Linked DNA regions of Chlamydomonas reinhardtii. The protein of the gene in region 2 interacts with the protein of the main gene of each other region in a pairwise test. Links are inferred from orthologs where the notes say so. Each region holds a gene or a part of one and is shown on either strand. Other genes may lie near its edges. The genes, in order: CHLRE_02g084800v5 and CHLRE_01g019750v5.

Region 1 (3,862 bases), on a different chromosome or scaffold from region 2:
TGTGCACACAGAGACACATTCCACCCCCGCCACCCCAGGTGTCGGACATCTCTTCTGACGCGTCCTTCATCCTGCTGGTTGAGAAGGACGCTGCATTCATGCGCCTGGCGGAGGACAGGTGGGGTAGGGGCGGGAGGAGGAGGAGGAGGAGGAGGAGGAGGAGGAGGAGGAGGAGGGGAAGGACGAGGAGGAGGAGGGGCAGGAGGAGGGCAGGAGGAGGGCAGGAGGAGGAGGTTACGACGCGGATGTGGGGCGATGCCGACACACACACACACACACACACACACACACACACACACACACACACACACACACACACACACATACATACACACACACACACATACGCACGCGCGCACAGGTTCTACAACACCTACCCCTGCATCATCCTCACCGCAAAGGGGCAGCCCGACGTGGCCACGCGGTGCGAGACACAATTACTTCCCTTGGAGTGCCTTCACCGGCGGGGCATGGCCACTGCGCCAAGGGTGCTCTAGAAGGACTTGCCTGCCTGCCTGTCTGCATCCAATGCCACGCCTTGCTCATCTGCTCAGCGCCCGCACAAGCCTTTATCGCACTTATCACGCGCCCGTCCACAGCCTGTTCCTCAAGAAGCTCAAGTCCAGCCTGAAGATCCCGGTGCTGGCGCTGGTGGACAGCGACCCCTACGGCCTCAAGATCCTGTCCGTGTACATGAAGGCGAGCCAGCGCCCGAGCGGGAGGCGGGGGTTATAAATACCAGCCCAAGCTAAAGCAAATCGAGCTGAACTAGCGGGGCAGGCAGGCGGGGACGGGTATGGGCCAGGCGCGGAAAGCCGGGTTTGACACTTCTGTACAGCCTGCAGTCAAACTGCCCCCGAGCTGCTGCGCGCATGCTTTCAGTGTGCCTGCTACTTCTTGCACACCGCCCCAGCCACTCTGACCCCTCCCCTCGGACCCAGTAACCCCATCCCCTGTGTCGCGCTCGCTACTTTGCGAGTTTCGTTCTGTCAGTACTGACGCCGTCATCCCTGGCTACGCTCTATCTTTGCGTGGCTACACGGCGGTTCAGGCTCGCCCTCCCAACCCCGCACGAAGACCGCAGTTCTCTGCTTGCATGTACCCTCTCCGGCGGCGGAGCCGCCCTCACAACTTGTAACACGACGCAGTGCATGGAAACCCATCCCCTTCAACGTGCCGCCCCTACTCTCCCCCACTCTCCCTCCGCCCTATTTGCTATACAACTATCCCTGGCTGCGCTTCCACTTCTTGAACAATCATGAATGTGACTCCCCCTTACCACTTCCCTAATTTATCATGAATGTGCTCCCCTTCACCCTCCCCCCCTCAGGGCTCCATGAACATGTCGTACGACAGCTCCAACCTCACCACCCCCGACATCAAGTGGCTGGGCGTGAGGCCCTCCGACCTGGACCGCTTCGATATCCCGCAGCAGGTGTGGCGGCGGGCGGCCGTGTGAGAGGGTGGCTGGGGTGGCCGGCGAGTGCAGGGCGTTTACACGGGCGGCGGCAGACAGCACTTGCGCGGACCGCTCCTCTACCCCCAGGTCCGCACTCATCCACTCCCGCCGCGTCCACTCCTGCCCCCTCACCGGACCTCCTCCGCCCTCTGGTTCTGGGTATAGGTATTAGTTGGGTTTGAAATACGGTAAACTATTCCCCCTCCTCCACTCCCGCCCCCTCTGCTCCCCTGTCAGTGCCGGCTGCCCATGACGGAAGAGGACATCAAGACCGGCAAGCGCCTGGTGAGGCCGGGCTTCCACGCATTTGTAACAGCTTTCGGGACAAGTTCTGTTTTACGTTGCACAGCCCCACTGCGCTACACCGCACCACCACGTGCAGCAGCCATCGCGCGGCCACACCGGCACACTCTCTCCACGGCTCAAGAACCCCCACCCCCAACCCTCCTGCTCCTGCTCCTGCATCTCCCGCCATCCTCTGTCCCCTCCCCCTCCTCAGCTGGAGGAGGACTGGATCAAGAGCAACCCCGAGTGGGTGCGCGAGCTGGAGCTCATGCTGGCCAGCAAGGTACGCTGCCGCCGCCACAGCAGCAGCAGCAGCAACCGATTGCATGGAAGTAACGCGGACTCTGTCGCGCGCTGGTCTGTTGTCTTGGGTGCTGCCCACGGGTGCTGCCCACGGGTGCTGCCCCTCACCCGCCCATCCCCTCATCACCTGTCCCTCACATGTCTTTCACAGTCCGCAACCCGAGCCCGTGCGCACCTCACACATCCCCCACCTGTCTCCCACCTGGCTACGACCGTTCACCCCCCTACACCTGCTGTCTATTTCGCTACACTTCACAGTACCAAACTTTGCAACCCTCGATGCCCCCTTCTCGCCCGTGCAGGTCAAGGCTGAGATCCAGGCGCTGTCCAGTTTTGGATTCCAGTACCTCAGCCAGGTGTACCTGCCGCTCAAGCTGCAGGAGGGAGACTGGATCTAGATTCTTGATCTAGGACCTGGATCTTAATGTGCCACGTGGCGTGTGATGAGGCTCGGGCTCAGGTGGCGGGTGTGTGGGGGTGCGGGTGCTTTGGGAGGAACGGTGGGGAGGGCGGGACCCAGGGGAGGGCGAGAGGGACACCAGTTGTGCGTGTGGCTGGGTTTCCACGTGGTGGAGGGGAGCTTGGGAAGCGCGGTGTGCCTGCGATTGCCTACGACTGCGCCATACAGGTCGTCGATGAGGGCGGTCACGCGCCGTGCAGGGGCACAGCAGGAGGAACGGAACGGAACAGGTTGCGGGCAGACGAACATGCATCCCGTGCTAATGACAGGGGGGCACAGCGCCCCCAGAAGAGGGGGCACGGCACGTGTTTGCCAGTGTGAAGCAGCGCACGCACGCGGCTGCAACGCAGGATGGACTACCTTATTGAATGTTGCCAGACCCTAAGATTAAGATGCCTGGTCAAGGCAAGATTGCACAGATGTCGCTCTGGGCGTTTTCGAGGCTGCATGGCTCTTCACGCGCATCGGGATGGCGAACGGACATAAGGGTCGCGGGAAAGCCGTGGGAGCTGCTCAGGCTGAGAGGAAAGGGCAGGGCGAGAACCCGCAGCCCTGCACGTTGGCCCGGCGGCGTTCACTGGTTGAGGCGCCAATTATCAGATTGCTTGCTGGTATTGATGGCTCCCCATGAAGCAAGTGTTCCTGTGGCAAGCGGTCAATGAACTGGCGTGCAAGCCCGTGCCAGCTAGAGCGGTACACCCGGCCTGTTGGCGGTCGCTCCGGCGCTTCCACAGCAGTAATACCGGCGAAGGCAAGGCCAGGGGAGGGGTGAAGGCGGGAAGGTGGAGGCGGCACGCGCGGACGGACGTACACATTCGGGCCCCTCTTCTGCTTTGCTTCGCCTTGTTCTTGCCCCTGTTTGTCACACTGTCGCCCGGCCATTGTTTTGCTGCACGCCGTTGCATTACGCTAGTGCTCGTCTACACAGCTCATCCGTGGACGCCGGTCGACTGCCTGCAGGTGCGCATCGGCTATGCTATCCGCGCGGTGTGGCGTCGCATTGAGTCTGTGTGGTGCTATCGCCTTGGCCGGGCGCCCGGAGCGTGAGGAATGCGCGTCAGCAAAACATCGACACAACCTGCCAGCTACCGTCGGTACAGTAACAGCGCGCGAACGACGCACCAATGCCTTGTCCCTTCTTGCTACGCATTTATGTGGGCACGGGTGGGAGCCACACACATCGGGACTACGCTTTCCTGCCCCTTGCCATGTTCCATCACGGGCACGCGCGGACGGGGTGGCAGCGGAGCTCAGTTGCCAGGGGTAAAGTTAAAGGCCGCGAAGGCGGGGGCTGTAACCCTGTAACGGCCTGCCGTTATCGGCGGCCCAGAGCTGGCAGGATGATGCTGGCACGC
Region 2 (4,520 bases):
GGCTCACGGCCATGGTACCGGCACGACGCCAGCACAGGCTTGCAGCACCTCGGAACCCAACCCCCATTCGCGTCAGCCCCCACCCCACCCTCCTGCGCCTTCCCTCTCCCTCCCACTTTCCCTCTCCCTCTCCCTCTTCTCTCCTCCCCTCCACCCGCAGTGCGGTGCGTTGTGACCGCCGCGGCCCAGTGCCCCCACCGGTACGTGCTCCAGTTGCCCTCGATGGTGAGGCTGAGGCTGGAGCCGTGCCAGCCGTCCGGGTTGGGCAGCTGCTCCTCCAGGTGGATGCTGGGCTCGTTCCTGACAAGCGGGCGAGCGTGCGGCGATGTGCCTTAATCCAAATGGGGACGAGTGCGACGGTGTCAGAGCTAGGGTGCCTGTGGTAGAGGATAGCGGCGCCGGGCGCCCTCCATGGCCACCGCCGGGGCGTCCCTTCCCAGCAGCTCGCCCTTCCGCTGACCTTGCCCCCCCCCCGACCCCCCTTCCTTTATCCGCGCGCCCGCCCGCTCCTCCACTCCCCCGCTGACCGCCTGCCTGGGGCTCACTTGTGTATGTCTATGTCCAGGCGGTAGTGGGAGCGCAGTGCGGCGCGCGGCGTGGCGGAGCTGATCTCGAAGGGCAGGCCGGTGGTCATCTTGGACCAAATGAGGGCCATCTTGGCGCCCAGACCGAACTTGCCTGTGTTGATGCGGTGTTGGCGTCATAGAAGAGCACAAGGGGAGCAAGTGCGGAAAGCACAAGGGGCGAGAGATTGTGTGGGTGGGGTAGGGGACGAGAAATGGGTGTGTGTACGAGGACGATGACGTGCGCCGCGTTGCACAGACCAAATGCGTGGCACCGCACCGCACCCACCGCACCACCCCCAGCCACACACCTCGTGTCTGCTTGACTCCGTACTTGGTGCCGCTGAGCACGCGGCCCAGCATGTTAGGGATGTCCTTGTGCGGCATGCCCGCGCCGTTGTCCTGGAGCCCGGAACAGCGGGGGTGGGGTGGGGTTACGTTCACAATTATTCAAGAAGTGAAGGCGTAGCCAGGAACAGTGGGGTGGGGCTATTCCAACCCCAAGACCCAACGACCAGCCTTACCAATGTCCCATAGCACAACCAAAACCCAACAAGGACGCAGCAGCGGTAGCCGCAGCGGCATTTCATAGGCCGTACACGGACGTATTCAAGCGTGCACTGAGCATGACAGTACCATGACATTGCATGCGCGCCCGCCCTGCCCATGCCCCGCCCCATTGCACTCCCACCTCCCCTTTCGCCCCTGAGTGCCCCCAGTCCTGGGCCCCCCGAAACACCCTTCGTGTCCCTGGTTTCTTGTTGGAAATGGTGGAAACACCCCCCTAACACCCACGCACGCACCTTGACGGTGACCTTGTAGAACAGGTTGCCGCGCATGTTGGCTCCGGGCTTGGCCGCGCCCGCCACCGCCGCCAGCTCCTTGCGCTTGGCCTCGGCCTCCTTGCTGCCCTCGCCGTGCTGCAGGCAGTCGTGCACAGGCGGGCTAGTCAAGTGGGGTCCAATAGCCGTGTAGGTGGGTTACACGTTTGATAGGGCACACATTACTGCCTTCCGGCATATATATATATATATGCACCTTCTCGATGAGCTTCTTGAGCTTCTCCTGCTCCCGCGCCTCCTTGGCCAGCCGTTTCTGTGGGGAGGGTGGAGAGCAGGGCGGCAGGGCGTCACTACAGGGAGTGGAGCGCGCGGTCATCTCGCCTCGGCACCACCGCGTCCCTTGCCGTGGACGCCATGTACGGTAGCGCCAGCCTGGCGCTGTGACTGATGGCGGCATCCGTGTGCCGTGGGCCCCTCCCGCGGCCCCGCCTCCCTCAGACCCCCGACATGCCCCCCCACACACTTTGCTCCTTACTTTAACACATGTGGGTATTGCATCTCTCCACCTGTGCTTTCGTAACACGCACAAACCCACGCACGCACCTTCTTTGCCTCCTCCGTCTCAAAGTCCTGATACAGCTGTTCGTCCAGGCGGTCGTGGTGCTCGACGCCCCGGATGCGGTTTAGCCGCGCCTTGGACACCTCCTCGCTTCGGGGTTTGGGAGGGAGGGGCGGAGGGAGGGGTGAAGGACGGGGTGGAGGGAGGAGTGGAGGGAGATTGAAGGAGGGAGGGAGCGGGTGTATGCGGTTGAGAGGAATGGTGGCCGGACGTTAGAGAGGTGGGCCATGGCCAAGGGGAGGGACCATTGTGTGCCCAACGACCGCGCACCTTCCCCGTAGCCTCCCTCCCCGATTCCTCACATGGTGATTTCAATGGCGGGCAGCTCCCCAATCGACTCCGCCGCGTCAAGCGCATTCTCCACCAGCTCACGGATGGTGGTGTACAGGCACTTGCCCGGCTGTAGCGGGACAAGGAGCACGCGTGCCATGTGCGCTGAGGCTTATCAGTAGAAAGCGCTGGCGTTCGTTGCGACCGAGTATCCAAGATTGTGTACCAACAGCCCAATCTGGCACGCTGGCACACACCACCTCCGCCGCACCCGCCCAAGCAGGGCACAAGCGTCATATACAACCCCGCCAGTGGCCCTTCGGACTCACATTGTCAAATCCCGCAATATTCTTATTCTCCGCAAAGAACTCCGCAGGGCTCTTCTGCACCAGCGCATCCGCCTTGCCCTTCGGAGCCATTCTCGCGTATGGACCCCTCCTCAGGCACCGTCTGAGGCCGCTCTATGATGACTATCCGCGCAACATGCGCTTCATGACTGTCGCACTCAAGCCCGGGATCAAATCGGGCTTTGGCCCTTGGCCTGCACCCTAGTTCTGTTTTGAACAACGCTTTTTGAGGGCACAATATTACATATGCTTGCACGTGTAGACTGTGGAAGAGCTAAGGAAGAAACAGAGGTGGAGATGGAAGAGCGCTGCGAAATATTGGATCCAGCGAGCTCGCCCGCATTGCCGTTCCCACTTCCACAACACGCCCGCATGCCATAACGCTGGACTTAATGTGAATATATTGAGTAGAGACACCAGAGATGGAGAAAATGCGACCTGAGGTGCAACTGCCAAAGCTTGAAGTTTAGAGCGGCTTTCCCTGAGCGCAGCGCAGTAGGGGCCCCCAGCCGGGGCCATAGCACAATAGAAATGAGTGCAACAAATGACATAGCGGCGCTGCTGCCTGCTGCGTGGGAGACGTTCCTGGCGCAGCGCCAAGCGACCTCGCAGCTGAACAGCACATTAGAGGATTTGCTGCACAAGATTGCTCAGGTAAACCAGGAAATTCTGCATGCGCATCGAGGAAGCCTCGGGCGTTGGGGAAAGCGATTGCTCGGTTTGAGCTGACAGCAATGTTGCGCGGGGCCGTGCCTGGTCAACTGGCCCGAACCCCAATCATCACTGCTTACGCACGTACACACATTGCAGATGGAGGCACCCACGCCAGAGGATGATGGCGCCCGGCTGGACGTCGTCGCAGACCTGGCACGCCTTGTGTCTGCGGACACTGCGGGCAGCCTGGGGGGCTCGCTGGCCGCGGTGCCGCACGGCTCCTTCCTCATGGGCTGCTTCACCTCCGCCTCTGCGCTTGAGGTAGCAGTCACGGGCCGCCTGCCGGCCAGCACACAGGGCGGCGAGGCGACGGACGTGGTGAGCCGCAGCAGGGACAGATGGCAGCCGCACAGGCATGGCCTTGCAAATACTGATAGGCTTCTTGAGGGCCCTGGCGTGGGGGCGCTAGGCACGCAGCAGAGGGTGACCCCCTGCTCCGCCAGCAAAGTGCGTGCAGGTGTTTGACGGCTCAGCTTTACACGCGCCATGTAGCTGGCAGACATCATCTCACATCCCGTGTCGACAGCTACTCCCGCATGCTGCTCCCGCCCATTCGCTACCCCCTCAACCCCCACCCCAACCCTGCAGGAGCGGCTGCCTCCCCAGGAGCGGCTTCAGCTGCTGGAACGGGTGCATGGGCTGGTGCGGGACAGTGGCATGGCGGCGCAGGGCACCGTGGCCATCAACCGCACCGCGCGAGTACCCTCCGTTAGGTGCGGCAGCAACGCACTGCCTTCCCCGCCGTAGCTTGCATCGCTCTCCATGCCTCTCTCAATCTTCTGTTCATCTTACCATCAAGGACGCACATCAGCTACCGCACATGACATATCTTTTACTTGGTACGCGCCCTCCGCTGTGACTGCCGTTGCCGGCAGCTTCGAGCACGCGGGCAGCGGCATCCCCGTGCGCGTGTGCGTGGCATACCCGGGCTTCGCGCTGCGGGCGCACGTGGTGCGCGGCCTCATGCAGCTGGAGCCGCGCCTGCGCAGCCTCACGCAGCTGGTGAGGAGAGGGCGCGGGAGGAGCGGGGGGAGCGCAAGGAGGCGTGAAGGACTTGGGAGGGGGAGGCCAGGCGAGGGTGGGAGGATTTGAGAAGGATTTGAGAAGCCGCAGGGAGCGCAGGCGGTGGAAGATGCAGTGGGGGATGTATGCCCAAGCCCGACGAAATAGATGGCAAGTGTCAAGAAGTCGTCGCCCAAACCAGGAATGCAGTGCAAGACGGAGG

Evidence for each region.
Region 1: the proteins of CHLRE_01g019750v5 (region 2) and CHLRE_02g084800v5 interact in binary tests that used the Arabidopsis thaliana proteins (3 or more experiments, as listed by UniProt). The link is inferred for Chlamydomonas reinhardtii from reciprocal best matches to the Arabidopsis thaliana genes TOP6B and RHL2.

What each region holds. Positions count from the first base shown.
Region 1 is NC_057005.1:1,563,548-1,567,409, forward strand, and holds the end of CHLRE_02g084800v5 (uncharacterized protein), read left to right. Parts: intron 1-38; coding exon 39-118; intron 119-361; coding exon 362-424; intron 425-599; coding exon 600-699; intron 700-1,330; coding exon 1,331-1,435; intron 1,436-1,696; coding exon 1,697-1,744; intron 1,745-1,958; coding exon 1,959-2,027; intron 2,028-2,349; coding exon 2,350-2,445; 3' UTR 2,446-3,169; downstream 3,170-3,862. UniProt on the Arabidopsis thaliana protein: Component of the DNA topoisomerase VI involved in chromatin organization and progression of endoreduplication cycles. Relaxes both positive and negative superturns and exhibits a strong decatenase activity. Involved in cell-elongation processes.
Region 2 is NC_057004.1:3,155,340-3,159,859, reverse strand, and holds the start of CHLRE_01g019750v5 (uncharacterized protein), read right to left. Parts: upstream 2,865-4,520; 5' UTR 2,654-2,864; coding exon 2,564-2,653; intron 2,365-2,563; coding exon 2,267-2,364; intron 2,055-2,266; coding exon 1,949-2,054; intron 1,659-1,948; coding exon 1,602-1,658; intron 1,484-1,601; coding exon 1,367-1,483; intron 966-1,366; coding exon 875-965; intron 679-874; coding exon 546-678; intron 301-545; coding exon 199-300; intron 1-198. Other genes in the region: CHLRE_01g019700v5 (uncharacterized protein), read left to right, coding at 3,113-3,235, 3,392-3,613, 3,884-4,008, 4,171-4,297. UniProt on the Arabidopsis thaliana protein: Component of the DNA topoisomerase VI involved in chromatin organization and progression of endoreduplication cycles. Relaxes both positive and negative superturns and exhibits a strong decatenase activity. The B subunit binds ATP.